Linked DNA regions of Rhinolophus ferrumequinum. The protein of the gene in region 2 binds, or shares a complex with, the protein of the main gene of each other region. Links are inferred from orthologs where the notes say so. Each region holds a gene or a part of one and is shown on either strand. Other genes may lie near its edges. The genes, in order: EME2 and MUS81.

Region 1 (7,972 bases), on a different chromosome or scaffold from region 2:
TAACTCTGACCATGTTGCAACAGCCTTGGGAAGAAGTGGCCTGATTCTCTTTTCTCCCTTGAGACTTCATCTCACTGCTTCTCCTCTCTGAAGGTGTCACCGCCAAGCCTCCAAGTAATGGGTATTTGTCCCCTGGCCGGGACTTGGGTGCTCCCAGCCCTTCCTGACTGTCCCAGCTGGCCACCAGGCCTGTGGCCAGTGTGTCCAGGGTTCGGGGGCATGTGAAACCCGCCCCCATTCTCTCGCCCCTCCAGCCAGCCGGCATCTCGTGGAAAGAAGTTCTTCTGCTCACCCCAGTTACCCAAGAACCTTTCCTGCTACCTGTGCCTGCCCCTTGGGATGAGGTCTGACCGAGAGCCCCTTCCAGGCAGAGTGGCAGGTAGTGCTGGGTGACTGCTCTCCTCCTCCTACCCCTCGTGGTTTCCGGTCACTCCCTTGCTGGACGGCCTGCTGTCCTGCTGGGTGGCGGGAGAAGGCCCAGTAGGTCTGGCAGGCCTGGTCAGGAGCTAAGGTCCAGCAGGAGGTCAGGGTCGGTGGCGGTCAGGAAGAGGCAGATGCGGCGGGAAAGGTCAGGGCCCAGCCTTCGGGGCCTCTTGCCCTTGTCCGCCTTCACAGGGAGGTCAGCCAGCAGAGCCAGGCGCTCCTGCTCTGTGCCGCAGGCCACGTACGCCTAGGGCAGGCACAGGGATGAGCAGAGCAGGCCTCGGGGACCTGACCATCGTACCTGAGGGGGTGGAGGTGGCGGGAGGGGGCCCACCTGCTGCAGAAGGCGTGGAGAGGGGAAGGCGGTGACAACAGCATCGGCCATGGCCGGGCTGACCCGGTTGAACTGCCTGATCTGCCGCCACCAGGCGCCCCGCAGCCCTGTGCCATCTCTTGTCACTCGTGCGCCTGCCACCCAGCACGCAGCTGTGCGGAAGGAAACGGCCTGGTGCTCCTGGAACTGCCTAAGGACAGCAAGGTGCAGAGAGGTTTCTGGAGGCTCCCTCTCTCCTGACCACCCAGTCCCCCAGCTCAACAAAGCCCCTCAGCCCTCTGCGTCACAGAGGCTGGGAGGTACCACCCCTCCAAGCGTTCCTGTCACCCTCCTAGCTGGGGTGGGGGCCACGCACTTGAAGGGGTGCTGGGCGAGGGCCTTGGTGAAGGCACACACATGCTGACTCAGCTCCTGCCAGGAGGCCACCAGCAGCACGTCCAGGTTTGCCCAGAGCTGCAGGAGCACCAGGGCCTGAGGAGGCAAGCCCGTGGGAGTGGGTAAGAGGAGGGCTCCCCTGGGGGACACCCAGCTAAGAACAACCCCACCTGCCACCCTGGGACCACACCCAGTGGCTGGGCCTCGGCAGCCTGAGAGCCAGGGCCAAGGCCAACCACCTCCCCCAACCTGACATGTCCTTACCTCCTCCACCTCGGGCCAGCCGACTGCCATCATGGCACGGGCCATCCCTGGATTCTCCGGCGGCTGCATCTCCCGGGTGTTGGGCTGGCGAGACCTAAGCAGAGGTGACTATCCCTTCAGCTCCCCACACCCCATAGGTCCCACCCTCCTTGAGTTCTGCTTCCCCTAGAGCCCGCCCAAAGGAGGAGCTTAGCCCCCCAAAGGAGGAGCACAGGAGCCCCCGAGCTACCCCAACCTTTTCCCTGAACTGCCTCATCCCAGCCAGGCCTGCTAAGGGTATGAGGGTGGCCAGTACCATAGGTAGGCATCCAGCCCGATGACAGCCAGGTGGGGGCAGGCGGGGCTCTCAGGAAAGATCCAGGGCACCGAGCTGGTTGGGCCACAGACCTGCAAGCCAAGGTTTACCACACCTGTTTCTCTGGGATGCGGCAGGTAGGGCCCATGAGCCACCAGGCCACTGCCAGTTTGCAGAATGAAGGGGAGCCAGGAAGGCCCAGTGGTGCTGAAATGAGACCGAAGTGGGCTTCCTCTGCTCAGCCAGTTCTCTAGAAAACCAGCTGTGTGCTTCCCCTGAGGTCAAGGGGACCCCAGGCCTGTCCCAGTCTCCTAGAAGAGTCTCCCTCCCCATTCTTGGTCCACCTCTGCACCCCAGCTGGGCACTTGCCTGGTAGCAGATAAATGCGGAACCTCAGACCCTGGGGCAGACAGAGGGTCTAACCTGACGACAGGCTGGCACAAACATCCGCTGAGCAGTCTCTATTGTTCCTCCAGCCAGGCGGGGGCTGGGCTCTTGGCTGGCATAGGTGGCCTGCACAGCCAACCCACAGCCCCAGTCCCAGGCCCCCTCTCACCAATTTCCCACCTCTGGCTTCTGACTGAGCTCTGCAGAGGGCCCGCTTTATCCTGGCTTCTGCCCCCTATAAGCAGCTGCAGCTCCCGTCTGCTCCCAGGCCGAGCCCAGGTGGCTTCCCCCATCTCACCCACACATCTGAGCTGCTGACCAGAGAAGAGCCCCTGCCCACTGCATGCCCTCTCCAGCCCCTCTGCCTTTGAGCAGCACTGGCAGAGCAGCGCATCCAGGCTAGGAACCCAACCCCCCACCGAGCACCTGTGTGAGCTGGAGGACGCCCTGCAGAAACTCATCAGGCTCCAGCAGCAGCAGGAGGTCCTGCTCCCCAGCAGCCCACACCTCAGGAGGCACCTGTGGGGACACCAGGAGCACTGCTGCCCACCCTCGGCCTTGAATGACCCAGGGCCTTGGTCTGGGCACCACACAGCTCTGAGGCTCATGGCCACAGCCAAATCCATGCCAGCCAGGGCTGCTCTACAGAATCCAATGTGGTCTCCTGCTGAGGCCAAGACCAGCCCTGGTCTCCGGGGCCGGCAGGAGCCCTGAGCACAGCCTCAGTGGGGGTGGAACATTCCTCGCACCAGCTGAGTGCAGACCCTGGACCCAGCCCTGCACCGGCACCATAGTTTGGGCATCACCCCATTCAGCATCCCCCATTCTTAGTTTATGTGCCCGATTACAGCAGCTACCTCATGAAATCATGGAGGTGAAATACCGAACTCAGGGCCGCACTACAGAAACCCAGGAAATGAAGCTGCTGGTGGCAAGGAAGCCGGGGCACTCACACTGCTGGGGCAGGGTTCCGGCTTCACTCTGCTCCACCTGAGGCTCCGAGCGGGGCGCTGGGGCTCGATGCGGTACTCACAGCCCAGGGAGCTCAAGGCTTCCAACAGGATGTCAGCGCCAGCATCTTCTAGGATGGCTGGGGTGGGCCAGAGAGACAGCTGTCACTCCTTTCCCCCCACGGGAGGACGCTCCTCACCCATAGCCTGGGCGGCGTGTTACAAACACATCGATTCACCATCCGCTCCAAGAGCGCAGATCGGGCCCAGATCCCAGAGTCTGTTTTTCAAACAATCTCCCCAGTTGGGAAGCCTGCGCCAATTCCTGGCCAAGAGGCGGCCTTGACAGATGCCCCTCTCACCCCGCAGTGGGCCGAGAACCACCTCCCAGTAATTAAGGGGAGCTTCCAAAGCCCGAGCTCCAGCAGAAGTGCAGCTTCTTCTAGGCCCCTTGCCCTGGCCCTGGCCCAGGGCGCACCTGGGTCCACCTGCACCACTAGGCGCCGCACCGCCTGCTCCGGCCGCAGCAGCCGCAGAGCCTGGGCGGCCGCCCTGCGCTCCTCTGCCGGGTCCCGCGCCCTGGCGACAGCCTCCGAATTGGCTTCCGCGCCGGCGGGGCCTTCGGTGTCCGAGTCTGAGATCTCCCAGGTCGGGGCCCGCCGCTGGCCGCGGCCGCGGCGCGAGCCTCCAGCCCCGCCGGGCCCAGCCCTCGCCATGGCCCGCCCGGCCTCCTCTCCGCTTCCGGCCGCGCCCGGCCGCCTTTCCAGGGAACACCGGCCTCTTCCGGCGGCGGCGGCGGCGGGAGCCAACCATGGCGCGGAAGAAGGTGCGGCCCCGGCTGATCGCCGAGCTGGCCCGCCGCGTGCGGGCCCTGCGGGAGCAGCGGGAGCGGCCGCGCGACTCGCAGCGCTACTCCCTGGACTATGAGACGCTGACTCGGCCGTACTCGGAACGTCGGCTGCCTGCGCGGGCCTGGGCCGACGTGCGCAGCGAGAGCCGCCTCCTGCAGCTGCTCGGCCGCCTCCCGTTCTTCGGTCTGGGCCGCCTGGTCACGCGCAAGTCCTGGCTGTGGCAGCACGACGAACCGTGCTACTGGCGCCTCACACGTGTCCGACCGGACTACACGGCTCAGGTGAGTGCGCCGGTCCCCACCTCCCCACTTCCGAGCTCGGCGAAGCAGCACTGCCGCCCCTGTGCGCGACGTTGTGGGACAGGGGGTCTCCTGCGTCCTGATCTCTGGGGACAAGAAAGCTTTCTGAGCTGATTCCCTCCCCATTTGTTTTTGCAGAACTTGGACCACGGCAAGGCCTGGGGCATCCTGACCTTCAAAGGTAAGGCGTCGGAGACCGGGTTGGGTGGCTGCTGGCAACAGACCGTTGCGCGAGTGCGCAATAAACCACGTCCTTCTTTCCCCAGGAAAGACGGAGAGCGAAGCCCGGGAGATCGAACAGGTCATGTACCATGACTGGCGGCTGGTGCCCAAGCACGAGGAGGAGGCCTTCACCGCGTTCAGGCCGGTGTCCGAGGACACTGTGCGCTCTGTGCCCTACCCGCCGCTACTCCGGGCTATGATCCTAGCAGAGCGACAGAAAAATGGGGACACTAGCACCGAGGAGCCCATGCTGAATCTGGAGAGAACACGCATTGATCCCTGGGACTACCCTCGGAAACAAGAGGCAAAGAGAAAGGCCAAAGGCACTCCAGTCTAAAATGTCAGAGCCCGCAGGCCGACCGAAGGGTGCAAGGCGTTGGGCACCATTTAGATGAAACAAAATGTCTTTGGGTTACACCTGAGAGCTCGGATCTGACGTCCACTTGTTCTGAGGCTCTGTACTGAACAGAGAGTAGAAAGGGGTGGCGTTAGACCCTGCACCTGTGTCTTCCCTCTGTTCCTGTCGCCCCAACACCCAGATCTGACGGAGGGGGCCACACTGGAGGCGGCTGCTGCTGGGGGAAAGCTGAAAGAGCAGGGCTAGTGGGTGTGGAGCCCCCGCGCTGGCACCTGTCATTTCCAGGCTGGCTCCCCTTCCTCATAACGGGTTGCCTCAGCTGGGACCCAGATAGAAGCTGTGAACGCGAATAAAGTCAACTGAAGTAACGCTGGTTTGTAGTACCTTCGAGTTTGGGGGACCATGGCTGGTTGTCTCCTGGAGAGTGGGGTGAAAAAAGCTGACATCGCGGTGAATCTGGCTCGGTGGATGGGAACACCTGAGCGGATTGGGGGGAAGGGGTACAGATGCAGCCGTCGCAGAAAGGTCTGGGGGCCCCGTGGCCGCAGAGATTCTGGGGTGAGCGTGGACAAGGCACGGCCTCACCGCATAGTCCGCGTTCCGTCAGCCCCCACCCTCGCCGCACCCACGGAGGCAGCCGCGCCAGGGGGCCGGGAACGAGGGGATTCGGGCTGCGGCCCCTTTAAACACAAGCCCCGCCCCCTCCAGTCTGCGCTCCGCTTCAGTCGCCGTCGCCATCATGATCTGTTTGGTGCTGACCATCTTCGCCAACCTCTTCCCCGCGGGTGAGCGGCGCGGCCGGGGCCGGGGGTTGAGCCGGGCCGGGCCAGGTGGGGTGGGGCTGCGGGCGGGCCTGACGCGCGCGGTCCCGCGGGTCCCGCAGCCTGCTCCGGCGTGCACGAGCGCACCTTTCTGGCGGTGAAGCCCGACGGCGTGCAGCGGCGGCTCGTGGGAGAGATCGTGCGGCGCTTAGAGAGGAAGGGCTTCAAGCTGGTGGCGCTGAAGCTGGTGCTGGTAGGGGCGGCGGCGGGGGGGCGCGGGGGTGGCGTGGGCGCGGGGGGGGACCCGGCGGGACGGGAGGGGGCGGGGCCCTGGAGCTCGCGAGCCGGCCCCCTCCCTCCGCAGGCCTCCGAGGAGCTGTTGCGCGAACACTACGCCGAGCTGCGCGAGCGCCCTTTCTACGGCCGCCTGGTCAAGTACATGGGCTCCGGGCCGGTGGTGGCCATGGTGAGTGCCGGAGGGCGGGCGGCGCGCTGACCCCGCCCCGACCGCGCGCTGACCCCGCGTCGCCGTCCCCGTCCGCAGGTGTGGCAGGGTTTGAACGTCGTGCGCATCTCGCGGGCTCTCATCGGAGCCACGGATCCTGCGGACGCGCCTCCCGGCACCATCCGCGGGGATTTCTGTATCGAGGTCGGCAAGTAAGGCCGGCCCCCGGCCCTCGGGACGTTCTTAGCGCGCGTCGCAGCTCCCCTCACTGGGCTGCGTGGGACTCCTGCCCGCGCTGACACACGCCTCTCCCACGCAGGAACGTGATTCATGGCAGCGATTCTGTGGAGAACGCCCGCCGTGAGATAGCGCTCTGGTTCCGCCCCGAGGAGCTCATGTGCTGGGAGGACAGCACGGAGCATTGGCTGTATGAGTAGTGGAGCCGCGGGGACCCGGCCTCCTGCAGCGGCAGAGGACCCAAGGCCAGAGGACCCAAGGCCGGGTGCCCGGGGCCTCTAGGGCAGACGTGCTGCAATAGGTTGTGGCTCACTTGGCACCCTCCAGGCCCCGGAGGTGGTGCTCAGAACACCCCTTCTGTGACAGGTATCACAGGATCCCTTCAGGACCTCCCACAGGGCAGGTGGGTCTGCCCAGCCCGGCATGCGACTGTTTGGAAAATGCCTGGAAATGTACCAGGGCACCAACCCTGGCACTGAGCTTGCTCCAGCATTTCTTTTTCTAATAAACTGAAGAAAACCCTTGTACTCACTCATGTTGGTTTGGGGTACCATGTTAAGACATTTATTACATACAGAGCAGATACACGGGTTTGCTTGCAGGGCCAAAGCCTGAGGAGAATTGTCACCCAGCCCCTTCTCCCAGCTGCACCCACCCCAGATAACCCCCGAGTCATTCATGGCCCCGTGGGAACAGACAAAGGACTTGACGGACATCACAGTGGACAGTGGCAGGGCGGTGGGGAGAAGCCTGCAGCGGCATGTGACTGCAGTGGTGTCTGGCTGGGCTGTGGGGTGGCTGCCCGAGATCTGTGCTTCTCTGGTGGGAGGTGGGTGGACGGCAGGGCACGAGGCTGCCCTGATCAGTGCCTTTTGGAGCAGGACTAAAGCCTGGGCAGGTGGGGAGGCAGCAGTCCAGGGCGATGCCCTTCAAAGTTGGCGGGCGCACACTCCTAAGAGCTGGGGGAGGTGGCCCTTATCCTTAGCCCTTCGGGCCTCTGTTGTTAGCCTGTCGGTTGCCCTCAAGGGAGCAGGCCACACCACCAGCCCAAGGCACTTAGTAGTGTGTCTTGGGAGCTGGGCTCCTTGGAGACTGCTTGGCAGGCAGGCCCAGGAGCTCACCTTCCCCATCACCCTGAGGCTATGCCTGCATCCTAGGACTGACCCCAGGAGAGGCCAGGGCCCCCCTTTCTTCCTGAGGCTTGGGCCTGCCCTGGCAGCCTGAGAAATTCACCCTAGGGGCTTCCAGGAGGGGCAGGACTCCAGGGTATGCTCCTACAAGGTGGGTCTTCTGCCCAGGAAGGGGGGAGGGGACATGGGTCAGTGAGAGCCGGTGAGAGCCTGCCAAACAGGAGGATCAGGGTTTGAACGGGATGAGGGCATCTGTTTGTCTTCTCAAACAGCTGCCCCATGGAGTCTGGTTACGTGCTTTCATGCCAGTGCCCGGGGTGGCAGGGATGGGGGCAAGGTCTAGTGGCCGGGCCAGCTCCCTAAGGACCCCCTACCCCTGCGTACAGCAGGCAAAGGCAAGTGGACTCAGGTGGGGAGACCTGGAGGTGAAGTCCCTGTTTCCTGCCCTGGGGATCCAGGGAGTGAGTGATGGGAGCGGGGAGCCCAGGGTGCAGCTGGGAGCCACCTTGGGTCTGTCCCGGCCCAGCCCACCCCAGGACTCTGCCTCATTCTGGCCCTGCAGTGCCCTGGGACTGGGCTGGGGGCCAGCCAGGAGCTGCTGGGAAAAGGGTGTCCCAGAGGTTCTTCCCTCCCACCCACGC
Region 2 (8,547 bases):
ACTGGTCCTACTTCCGTGAGTGGCCATGACCAGTTGGAAAAAGGGAGGGAAACCAGGCGGCGTGGGGAAGGGTCATTTCCACAACATTCCATTTATACACAGAACTAAAACAGACAAGCACAGAATCACTATTGCGGTTAGAAGTTGGCAGCTTGGGAAATGGAGGAACAGGTGGGGAGACGGGATGTCGTTAAAAAAAACACAGACCCCCAAACTGGGGTGCCTGGGGGGAACTTGGTCTTCTTCAACCCAAGAATAATCAGAAGATCAAAAGCGGTTGGGGAAGGCCAGAACCGTCAGGGGTGGAGGGAAGAGGAAGGTCCAGGGGGTGGGGGGCTGTTTGGCAACTGGGTGAAGGGATTGCCCTCCCCCTGCTGGGATCCCCCCAGCCCCTCCGGTCTGGCAGGAAGGGGGCAGCCTGCAACCCCCATGGGCAGGTCTGGGGCTGCCAGATGCTCCGGGCAGGGGGCTGGAGGGGGCTCACAAAGGCTTGCCCTCCAGGGAGATGACAGCACTGCCCCCCAGCTTCTCTGCCAGGGTGCAGCGGTCCTTGACCTCCTCGTAGCAGTTTGCTTGTAATTCATGCTTGATCCCTGTGGGGAAAAGGGGGGAGCGTATGTGAGCAGGAAGCAGTAGGGTGGCTGGGGGTAGTTTATGGCTGGGAAGGAGCCAGTCGGAACAGATGGAAAGGACATGGTTACATTCCAAACAGGCAGGGACAAGGAGGGGGAGGAACCTCCTCTGCCATCCCAGTCACCCTACCCTGCAGCCAAGGCCTGGGCAGAAAGAAGAGCATGTGGCACTACCAATGCTGGTCCTTACCCGTCAGCTTCTTCTTGATGGCGTCCTTGGAGCTGGCATAGATCATTTTGCTCTTAAGGGGTGCAGACTCAGGAGCCCTGGATGGAAATAAGAGACATAGAAACTTGCAGCAAAGTCTCCTCCAAGTCTAGCAAATGCCCTCAAGCAACAGATGACTTCCAGAGAAACACTTGAGCTGGCCCCTAGCGTTCAAACTTTTATCAAGTTCCTCATTGACAAGTTTTGTTACAACACCGCCCCCCCCCAAAAAAAAACCCACACTTCTGGTTAATTAGGAGGCAGAGTTCCCATCCTGAGAAAGGGCGGTGAGACAGAGCCAGTACAGGTGACAAAATAAGTGCCCGCAGGAGGAGCTCACCAGAAGATAAACACCAGGTCCTCCTTCTTGCTCTCCTTGGTCTCATAGGTTGCATCATAGAGGGCGTAGCGACAGTCCTTGTCCGGCAGCATCTTGACAAAGGTGGCGTAGGGGTCGTCTACAGTCTGGCCCACATCACCTACCAGGATCTCCTTGCCCTCCTCCAGGATGATGTTCTTCTTGTCCTCACTCAGGCAGAAGAGCACGGCCTTCTTGCGCTTCTTCACCTCCTCTGGTGTCGACGACTTACGCACCTTCATGTCATTGAACACTTTGATGACTCCATCAGAGACAGCCACACCAGAGGCCTGGGGGACGAGCCACACACACCTCATAAAAAAAAGACTTCCTGGGACTCCCCCTGAAGTCCCTCCTTTGCTTTCTTAGGAGACCTGTCTGGATGCCAACCAACATACTACACAGTCCTCAGCCCCAAGAGGTCATGAAAACCTTTTCCAAAGTAAGTGTCCCTCTTTTCCTACTCAAGCCACTGTCAAAAAATCAGATGGGACACAACTCCAAAATAGCAGCCACAGACGAGACCGCTGATCACCTCATTCAGCATCATTTCTCCCCACCCCAACATCTTGCAGGCTAGAAATTGAAGACCTGTGAGAAACAGAACCATGATTGAGACATGAGCCCAGAATTAGAAGAATCCACAGGCAACTGACTCGTTTCCTACTCACATTACACAATCTCAGCTTTTGGATAAAACTGCTGACTCAGAACCTCGGTGAAGAAAACCTAGACACCGAAATCATAGCCATCTCTTCTGGAAAGAGAGAACCAGGCCCATACAATGCTAGATGTAACACCAAAGGTGCTCAACAGTTGAAGCAAATTCATCAGAGTCGCTCAGTGCAATTATTACACAAACTATCCATTTTTCTGCTGGGGTCTTCCTCAACCGAAAAATTACAACCCCTCATTAAGGCCTTACCCGACAACTCCCTATTTTCTGGGCAAAATGCAGGCCCAAAAAGCTGACAGAAGTCCACAGCGCAAACTCAAGTGCCCACAGTCCTTGAGGGCCCTTTAAACTTCTATTTTGGGTCGTATCGGGGGACACCCTAGCCCGGAAAAGCAGCGACTGTCCACGATGAAATCTGCGGAGCACCCCCCTCCCGGAACTGCAGAGGAAGCCGGCCACGTGACTCAGCCGCTTCCGGAGTAGGCGGGGAAAGGAGCTAGGCTAGGCTCGGCCCCTCCCCGAGAGAGAAACCCCTACCCAGAGGCAGTAGCAACTCCAGGGCCTCAGCCTGAAAGAATCGCTTTTACAAGCCGGCGTATCAGCCGGAGCCTGGGCAAGTTACACAACGTTCGGTTCTCGGAGCCTTCGGGCCGAACACGGGCGGGGTGGTTTCCGGGCGGTGCCCGCCTGGGTCACTTCCCTAAACTTGACTCCACCCTCAAGCCCCATCCGGGAAAGCCGAGGGCCCCGCTTGTCCAAGGCTTCGGGCCCAGCGCCCAGGCCCGAGCGTGTGCGCACGCGCCTGCCGAAAGCGCCGTTCCAGCCTTTGCCCGATGTACAGAGCGGAGAACCCAGCTCGCTTTGTGGGCGAGCTCGCTCCGGAGCAGGGCCGTGGCCTCTGCTGTGTCCGATCCGTGCCGCGCGGTGCAAGCCCCTAATCCCAGGCGCCCACTCCCGGACCCTGACGCCCGCGCATCCCCGCCGCCCCCGCCCCTCCCAGGCGCAGGCATCCTTGCCACCTGCTCTCGAGACAGACCAGCCTGCCGAGGGAGGATGACGCGGAGACAGGAACAGCACTTGGGTGGGGCGCGCGCGCCAAGACTGCTCGCGCGCTTTTCCTTCGCCGCCCCCGGGCCAGGTTTGGATACCGCGTGCTCCCGTCGAGCGCGCGTTCCCGTGAACCGACTCACTTCACCGCCGCTGCGGCGCGCGACACCACCCGATCTGCGAGGGGCGGGCGCGCGCCTCGGACCCCTCCCCCACGGCTAGTGTCGGCGCGGGCGTACCAGAGGTGGGGGAGGGGAAGGGAGACCAGGGGGCGCGCGTGCGACGTCCCAGCTAGCCATCCCTGGCGCCCGCGGGCGCGCACGCGCGTCCCGGGGCCGCCCGCCCCTCAGCACGAGACCCTCATCCCGCCCTGGGTGCTGGGGGAGGGGTGCCGACGTCGTTTCCCCGTTCCCTCCCACACGCGAGACGACCAACTCGCAGCCGCCTCCCTCAAGCACCGGGGCCTGGTGCTCACCATGTTTCCGGAAGCAAAAAGGCGACAGCAAGCAGAGCCAGAAAAGATGAGAGCCTCTGCAGCTGCTGCCGGGATCCGACTGAACGCGGCCTCTCCCGGCCCCTTCCGTTTAGTATGAGCCGCACAATGAGGGGCGGGGCGGGCTTCCGGCGCTCCCACTGCGGGCCGACGGGAAATGAAGTCCAAAGGTCCTGCGCCGTCCTCGAGCTCGCTGGAGGCGAGCCCGTCTTCCCAGCGCTACATTGCATACCGGGAAATGTAGTCCGAGACAGCTGAGAGGGGCGGGGCTATGGCACAGAGAGCGCACCCATTGGTCGAATTTCCCAGGAAACGCTAAGCGCTGTGAAAGGCGCTAGGTAACATGACCCGAAAATGAGCCCCGACTTCGCGGCTCTTCACCCCGTTGTGAAACGGTTTCCTTAAGATCCATCTTAGCACTTTCTGGATCCCGTGGTCTGAAAACTTTGAGTGAATCAGTATTTTGCTTTTCTGAAGCGAAGCAACTATTTACTGGCCCGGAATCCAGTCCTTGAGCAAGGAGAATCGCAAGTATAAGGTGCCTTCAATCCAGTAAACATTGAGCAACTCCATGGCAAAGCCACGCTTGTCTCCTGAGAAAAGGCCATATGAAACTTCAATAAAATAAGAGAAAAAAATACGGGAAAGGTTACAAGGAACTCTTTGAAAATAGATGTGTCGTTTTAAACGTTTGGCAAATTCACAACGCACTAAAAGGAGAAGGGCAGGGGTTTGTGCATTCAACTCAAGGATTATGTGCCTTTTACTACAGAGCGAAAAGAAATAGATACTAAATCAAACTTGAATCTTGTTCTCGAGTTGAGAACCAGGCATATAGTTAATTTGGGGGTTAATTTAATACCCCCAAAAACTGAGACATAGTTTTACAAAAACAAACTGGGGTTGGGGGGCTCGGGAAGATTTCGTTGGCTTCAAACAATGACATGGCCTCACTGCGCAGGCAGAGAAGAAAGGGTCTCAAACAAGGGAATTAGGGCCATTGATCCTACAAGCGTAATAAAGGGTGTAAACGAGCTGAAAGCCCGTTCTTCACTGGTCGGGGAGCGACTCCCTGGAGTGGGGTACCTCGCAGAGCATGCCGGGGGTTGTAGTCGGGGACGTCCCGCCGCGCTCTGCCTACCAACCGAGCTACGGGGAGCCCCAGGTGAAGGCCACAGCTCGACCGCTGCCTACCCCTAGAGACCCTGTCAGAAGAGAAAACTGGCTCCATCTTTATCGAGCCTCAGAGTTGCCAAGAGCAACGAGAAGGGGGAGGGGGACATCGCAGTTACCCAGGAGACGTGCTCCCTCCCGCCCCTAGCCGCGGGATGCCCTAGATGTCCTTATTAGGACAAGAGACTAGAGGGGGCGGGACCAACCCTAACGATGGCTGGAGGCTCCTTATAAGGCAGCGTCGGACAGGAGGCGGGAGTTCGGAGTAGGCTGGGCGGAGTCTGGAGGGGCGGGCCTGTTGCTCCCACGGCCGCCAGTACGCTCGTAGGCTCCAGCCTAGCACCTCGCGTCTTCTGGTATGACGGCTAGGGGTTGCTTCAACTCCCAAGCGAGATCTTTGTGCCCAATTCCTCCATACGTGTCCCTCAACCTGGGACCTTTTTTGCATATATATACCATCTCAATCCTCTCTGAGGGTCCCCCATCTCCAATAAATCACTAAACCGGCGAAATGTTCACCCCTTTCACCCTCGTCGGGGCTTCTTACCTCCAGCTTGCTCCCCCAAATCCAACCACGTATCCATCTCAGCCACCCCTTTTACCTGCCAGGATACCCAACACTTCCTGCTTTTCCCTCTTCTTCTCCTCTGTTCCCCTCCCTCCGTCCTACTAACTTTGGCCTTCCCTGAAAATTCCTGACTTCGCTCCCCACTGCCCTGTGTCGTCCCTCCCAGCTCGGGATCATCTTTTCCTCGGAGGGGCCTTCAGCTCCTTCCGCGTTACCTTTGTGTGCTCATATCCTGTACTTTCTAGATACCTCTCCTGCAAATACACCTGCACCCATTTGTCTCCCATCCCCCACCTCTCAGCCTTTTCACAAGCCCAGTCTCTCCAGACTCCTCCGTCAAGGTTAGCTGAAAATGACAGCCTCAGATTACTTAGTTAAGCACCGCCCCAGCCAGCCCTCCCAGCCACAAGGGGGTGCAGTCCGCCTTTCTCTTGCCTTCACAAAGAAGACCGCTCTAGATTCTGGGGTGGGAGGAAGGGGCGGGTCAAGGCTCGGGGGCCTGGGTGGGGTGTGTCCCAAAGGCTGGTCCTGGCCGGGAGGAGCGAGGGGGCGAAAGACCATAGAAACGGTACTCGGCACCAACCACTCAGAGTAGTGGAGGGGCGGGGAGGGCAGCAGGAGGTTATCCTCTAGTTAGTGCCCCTCGTCGGACCACGTGATTGAAGAAGTCCCGCCTTCACCCTCCTGAGCCAGGTGTTCGAATCCTGTTTCCAGAACTGGGCGTCTCAGTACCGCCGGCGTGAGGCGCCAAAGGCCTAGTCCTGGGGCTCATGGCGGCGCCGGTGCGTCTGGGCCGGAAACGTCCGCTGCCGGTTTGCCCCAACCCGCTCTTTGTACGCTGGCTGACCGAGTGGCGGGACGAGGCAGCCAGCAGGGGGCGCCGCACACAATTCGTGTTTCAGAAGGTGGGTGCCAGCCCGACCTTATGAGGACAGGTGCTGGCGGAGCCAAACGACCAGGCCAGCCCTGACCCGGTACGGTACCCCCTACCCCGCCAGGCGCTGCGCTCTCTCCGGCGTTATCCACTGCCCCTGCGCAGCGGTAAAGAAGCTAAGATCCTGCTGCATTTCGGAGACGGGCTCTGCCGGATGCTGGACCAGCGGCTGCAGCAGCACCAGTCATCTGGTGGTGAGCTCTGGGGGCAGGGGTCGGGGTTCCCTGAGTCTCCCTGAGGTGCAGCCTCCGTAACCACGTGGGATACCTTAGCTTCAAGCTCCACTCTCCTGTCCAAGTTGCTGTTTGACCCAGGGCTCGGTGCTGGCTCTCGTAGAGCCTCACCGCTCTCACCTACCACACGAGCTGGCAGCGTCCCAGATCCTCCCGCCTGCTGGATTCCATGGGGTCCAGGGTTGACTCTCTTCTCCCGCAGGTGACCATGCCCCAGCTTCATCTGGAGCAAAGAGTCCAGCCCAGGAAGGACCACCTGCTGAAGTCCAGGACTCTTCCATGCCAGTGAGGATGGGGCAAGAGGAGTGGAAGGGATTGTGGGGGCACCAGGAGTAAGATTTTCTGGCTTGGGGGACTAGCAGGCCTGGGTCCACATCTCCCCACCAGTGATACCTGGCCTTGGGCAAATGACTCATTCTCCCTCATAGCTAGTTTTCTCATTTGTAGATGGGTATGCCTGTGTTGATTGGTGAGAGAGTCAGTTCTGTGATCAAGTTATTTAGGGGGCCAAGCCCAGTAAGTTGTGGGGGTTGATATTACTGAGTTTTCTTGTCTTACCACCTCTGTCCTGCAGTGGATGGTAGAACTGAGACTGGAGCGGGCCGATTACACCATCCCACAAGTCTCCACTGTCTCATCCCAAACTTGCAGGCGATCATCCCATCATCTGTCCTGTTTAACAAATCTGGGAACTGAGAGGCAGCTGAGTGACTTGCCCAAGGCCATGCGGCCTACAGAGATAGAACCTGAACCTCAGCCCTGTCAGGGATTCAGTCTACAACGGCTGGCTGGCTGATTTTCATATTCAAAGTCCTTTGTATCTTTAAGGTTCTGGCCCAACCCAAAGCGGGAGGCTCTGGCAGCTACTGGCCAGCTCGGCACTCAGGAGCACGAGCAGTACTGCTGCTGCTCTATAGGGAACATCTGGTGAGTACCTAGCTATACTGAGTCAGGGAACCAAGGCAGTGGGGCGTGAGGCTCTGGGAAGGGATTGGCCCAGGCACGGAATCTGCCTTGGTTATATTTCTGCCTTGGTTACAGAATCCTAGTGGCCACAGCTTCCTAACCAAGGAGGAGCTGCTGCAGAGGTGTACCCAGGAGGCTCCCGGGGTGAGCACTGAGGTGGGGATGGTTGGGACCAAGTGGCTCTGGATCTGACCTTGAGCCCACCAGAGGCTGCCCTTCTCAGGAGCTAGCAGTGGCATGGGACCCAGGGAGCTGGACACATGGTGGCACCAGGTGCTCTCTAACAATCACCTCACCTATGGACAGGTAGCCCCTGGGAGTGCTCGATCCTGGCCAGCCCTCCGCTCCCTGATCCACAGGAACCTGGTCTTCAGGACACAACAACCGGCCAGGTGGGGCCAACTACAGGGGATGCAGGAGGCAGGGAGGGGGAACATGCATGATGGTCTGAGTGGGGTCTGCAGTCACCCAGCAATTCCCAGGCCTCATGCTGTTGAGGTTGGGGGAAAGGGGAGGCCTTATCCCCAGGACCCCACAATGTTGGAATACTGGGAGGGTGTGAGAGACTGAGCAGTGAGGGCGAAGAGGAAGAGGTGCGACAGATTATCAGCGGAGCGGAAGAGCTTTGCTGGGGACATGGCATTTGACACATTTTAGAATTCAGAGGGTAGAGATGCAGGAAAAGCACTGCAGGGAGGAGGGAACAGTATGAGCAAAGTTGGGAGGAAGGAAAGTGTCTGAGACGTATTGCAGACCTGAGGGATGGCCCTGGCCATCCAGAGGGCAGTGATTAAAGGAGCAAGAACACAGCCTGGGGGGTGATGGTGGAAGCCACTGGACTTAATTGTGCAGGGTCACCAAGAGGGTGTGAGGCCTGCCTAGCTGGGGGCAGGCAGGAGAGCCTGCCAGATATGAGCAAAGAAGGGAGATCTGTGTTCGTGTCTTCTACCTACTAGGTACTCACTGACCCTGCAGGGTCTGGAGCTGGCCCAGAAGCTGGCCGAGTCAGAGGGCCTGAGCTTGCTGAATATGGGTATCGAACCAGAGGAGCCCCCTGGGGACGAGCCAGAAGTGCCAAGATCATTCTCCGCTGAGCTGTGAGGAGGGGAGAGAGGGAAAGGGGGGATGGAGAGAAAAGGGGAGCACGGGGTCCCAGAAACGAGGCCAATACCCCACCTCCGTCTCCATCACCTACAGCTGAGCTGTGGCTGTCTCACTTCCACTGGGTTTGGAGGGAAACTGCCCTGGCAGTGGGGTTC

Evidence for each region.
Region 1: the proteins of MUS81 (region 2) and EME2 are in contact, whole or in part, in a crystal structure (PDB 7F6L), measured with the Homo sapiens proteins. The link is inferred for Rhinolophus ferrumequinum from reciprocal best matches to the Homo sapiens genes MUS81 and EME2. Residues at the interface, in NP_079404.3 of Homo sapiens: His330, Glu351, Phe354, Lys357, Arg358, Arg363, Val365, Glu381, Leu385, Gln386, Thr389, Asn390, Gln392, Val393, Ile394, Phe398, Lys400, Arg401, Tyr411, Leu414, Leu415, Arg417, Gly418, Leu419, Arg421, Leu422, Pro447, Ile464, Lys467, Ala468; in NP_001244299.1 of Homo sapiens: Glu140, Arg177, His179, Glu220, Glu221, Val224, Leu225, Gln227, Leu228, Trp229, Asn231, Leu232, Asp233, Leu235, Arg245, His246, Ala249, Val250, Lys252, Ala253, Leu254, Gln256, Tyr257, Lys260, Gln261, Glu264, Gln266, Phe268, Phe270, Cys271.

What each region holds. Positions count from the first base shown.
Region 1 is NW_022680357.1:3,538,492-3,546,463, reverse strand, and holds EME2 (probable crossover junction endonuclease EME2), read right to left. Parts: upstream 3,762-7,972; 5' UTR 3,745-3,761; coding exon 3,507-3,744; intron 3,169-3,506; coding exon 3,032-3,168; intron 2,598-3,031; coding exon 2,505-2,597; exon of another isoform or gene 2,435-2,504; intron 1,784-2,434; coding exon 1,692-1,783; intron 1,501-1,691; exon of another isoform or gene 1,491-1,500; coding exon 1,397-1,490; intron 1,255-1,396; exon of another isoform or gene 1,229-1,254; coding exon 1,113-1,228; intron 948-1,112; coding exon 758-947; intron 671-757; coding exon 500-670; 3' UTR 51-499; downstream 1-50. Other genes in the region: MRPS34 (28S ribosomal protein S34, mitochondrial), read left to right, coding at 3,840-4,160, 4,317-4,359, 4,445-4,737. UniProt on the Homo sapiens protein: Non-catalytic subunit of the structure-specific, heterodimeric DNA endonuclease MUS81-EME2 which is involved in the maintenance of genome stability. In the complex, EME2 is required for DNA cleavage, participating in DNA recognition and bending.
Region 2 is NC_046294.1:5,965,540-5,974,086, reverse strand, and holds the start of MUS81 (crossover junction endonuclease MUS81), read left to right. Parts: upstream 1-5,281; 5' UTR 5,282-5,925; coding exon 5,926-6,060; intron 6,061-6,153; coding exon 6,154-6,283; intron 6,284-6,524; coding exon 6,525-6,607; intron 6,608-7,150; coding exon 7,151-7,249; intron 7,250-7,363; coding exon 7,364-7,432; intron 7,433-7,594; coding exon 7,595-7,680; intron 7,681-8,244; coding exon 8,245-8,385; intron 8,386-8,547. UniProt on the Homo sapiens protein: Catalytic subunit of two functionally distinct, structure-specific, heterodimeric DNA endonucleases MUS81-EME1 and MUS81-EME2 that are involved in the maintenance of genome stability.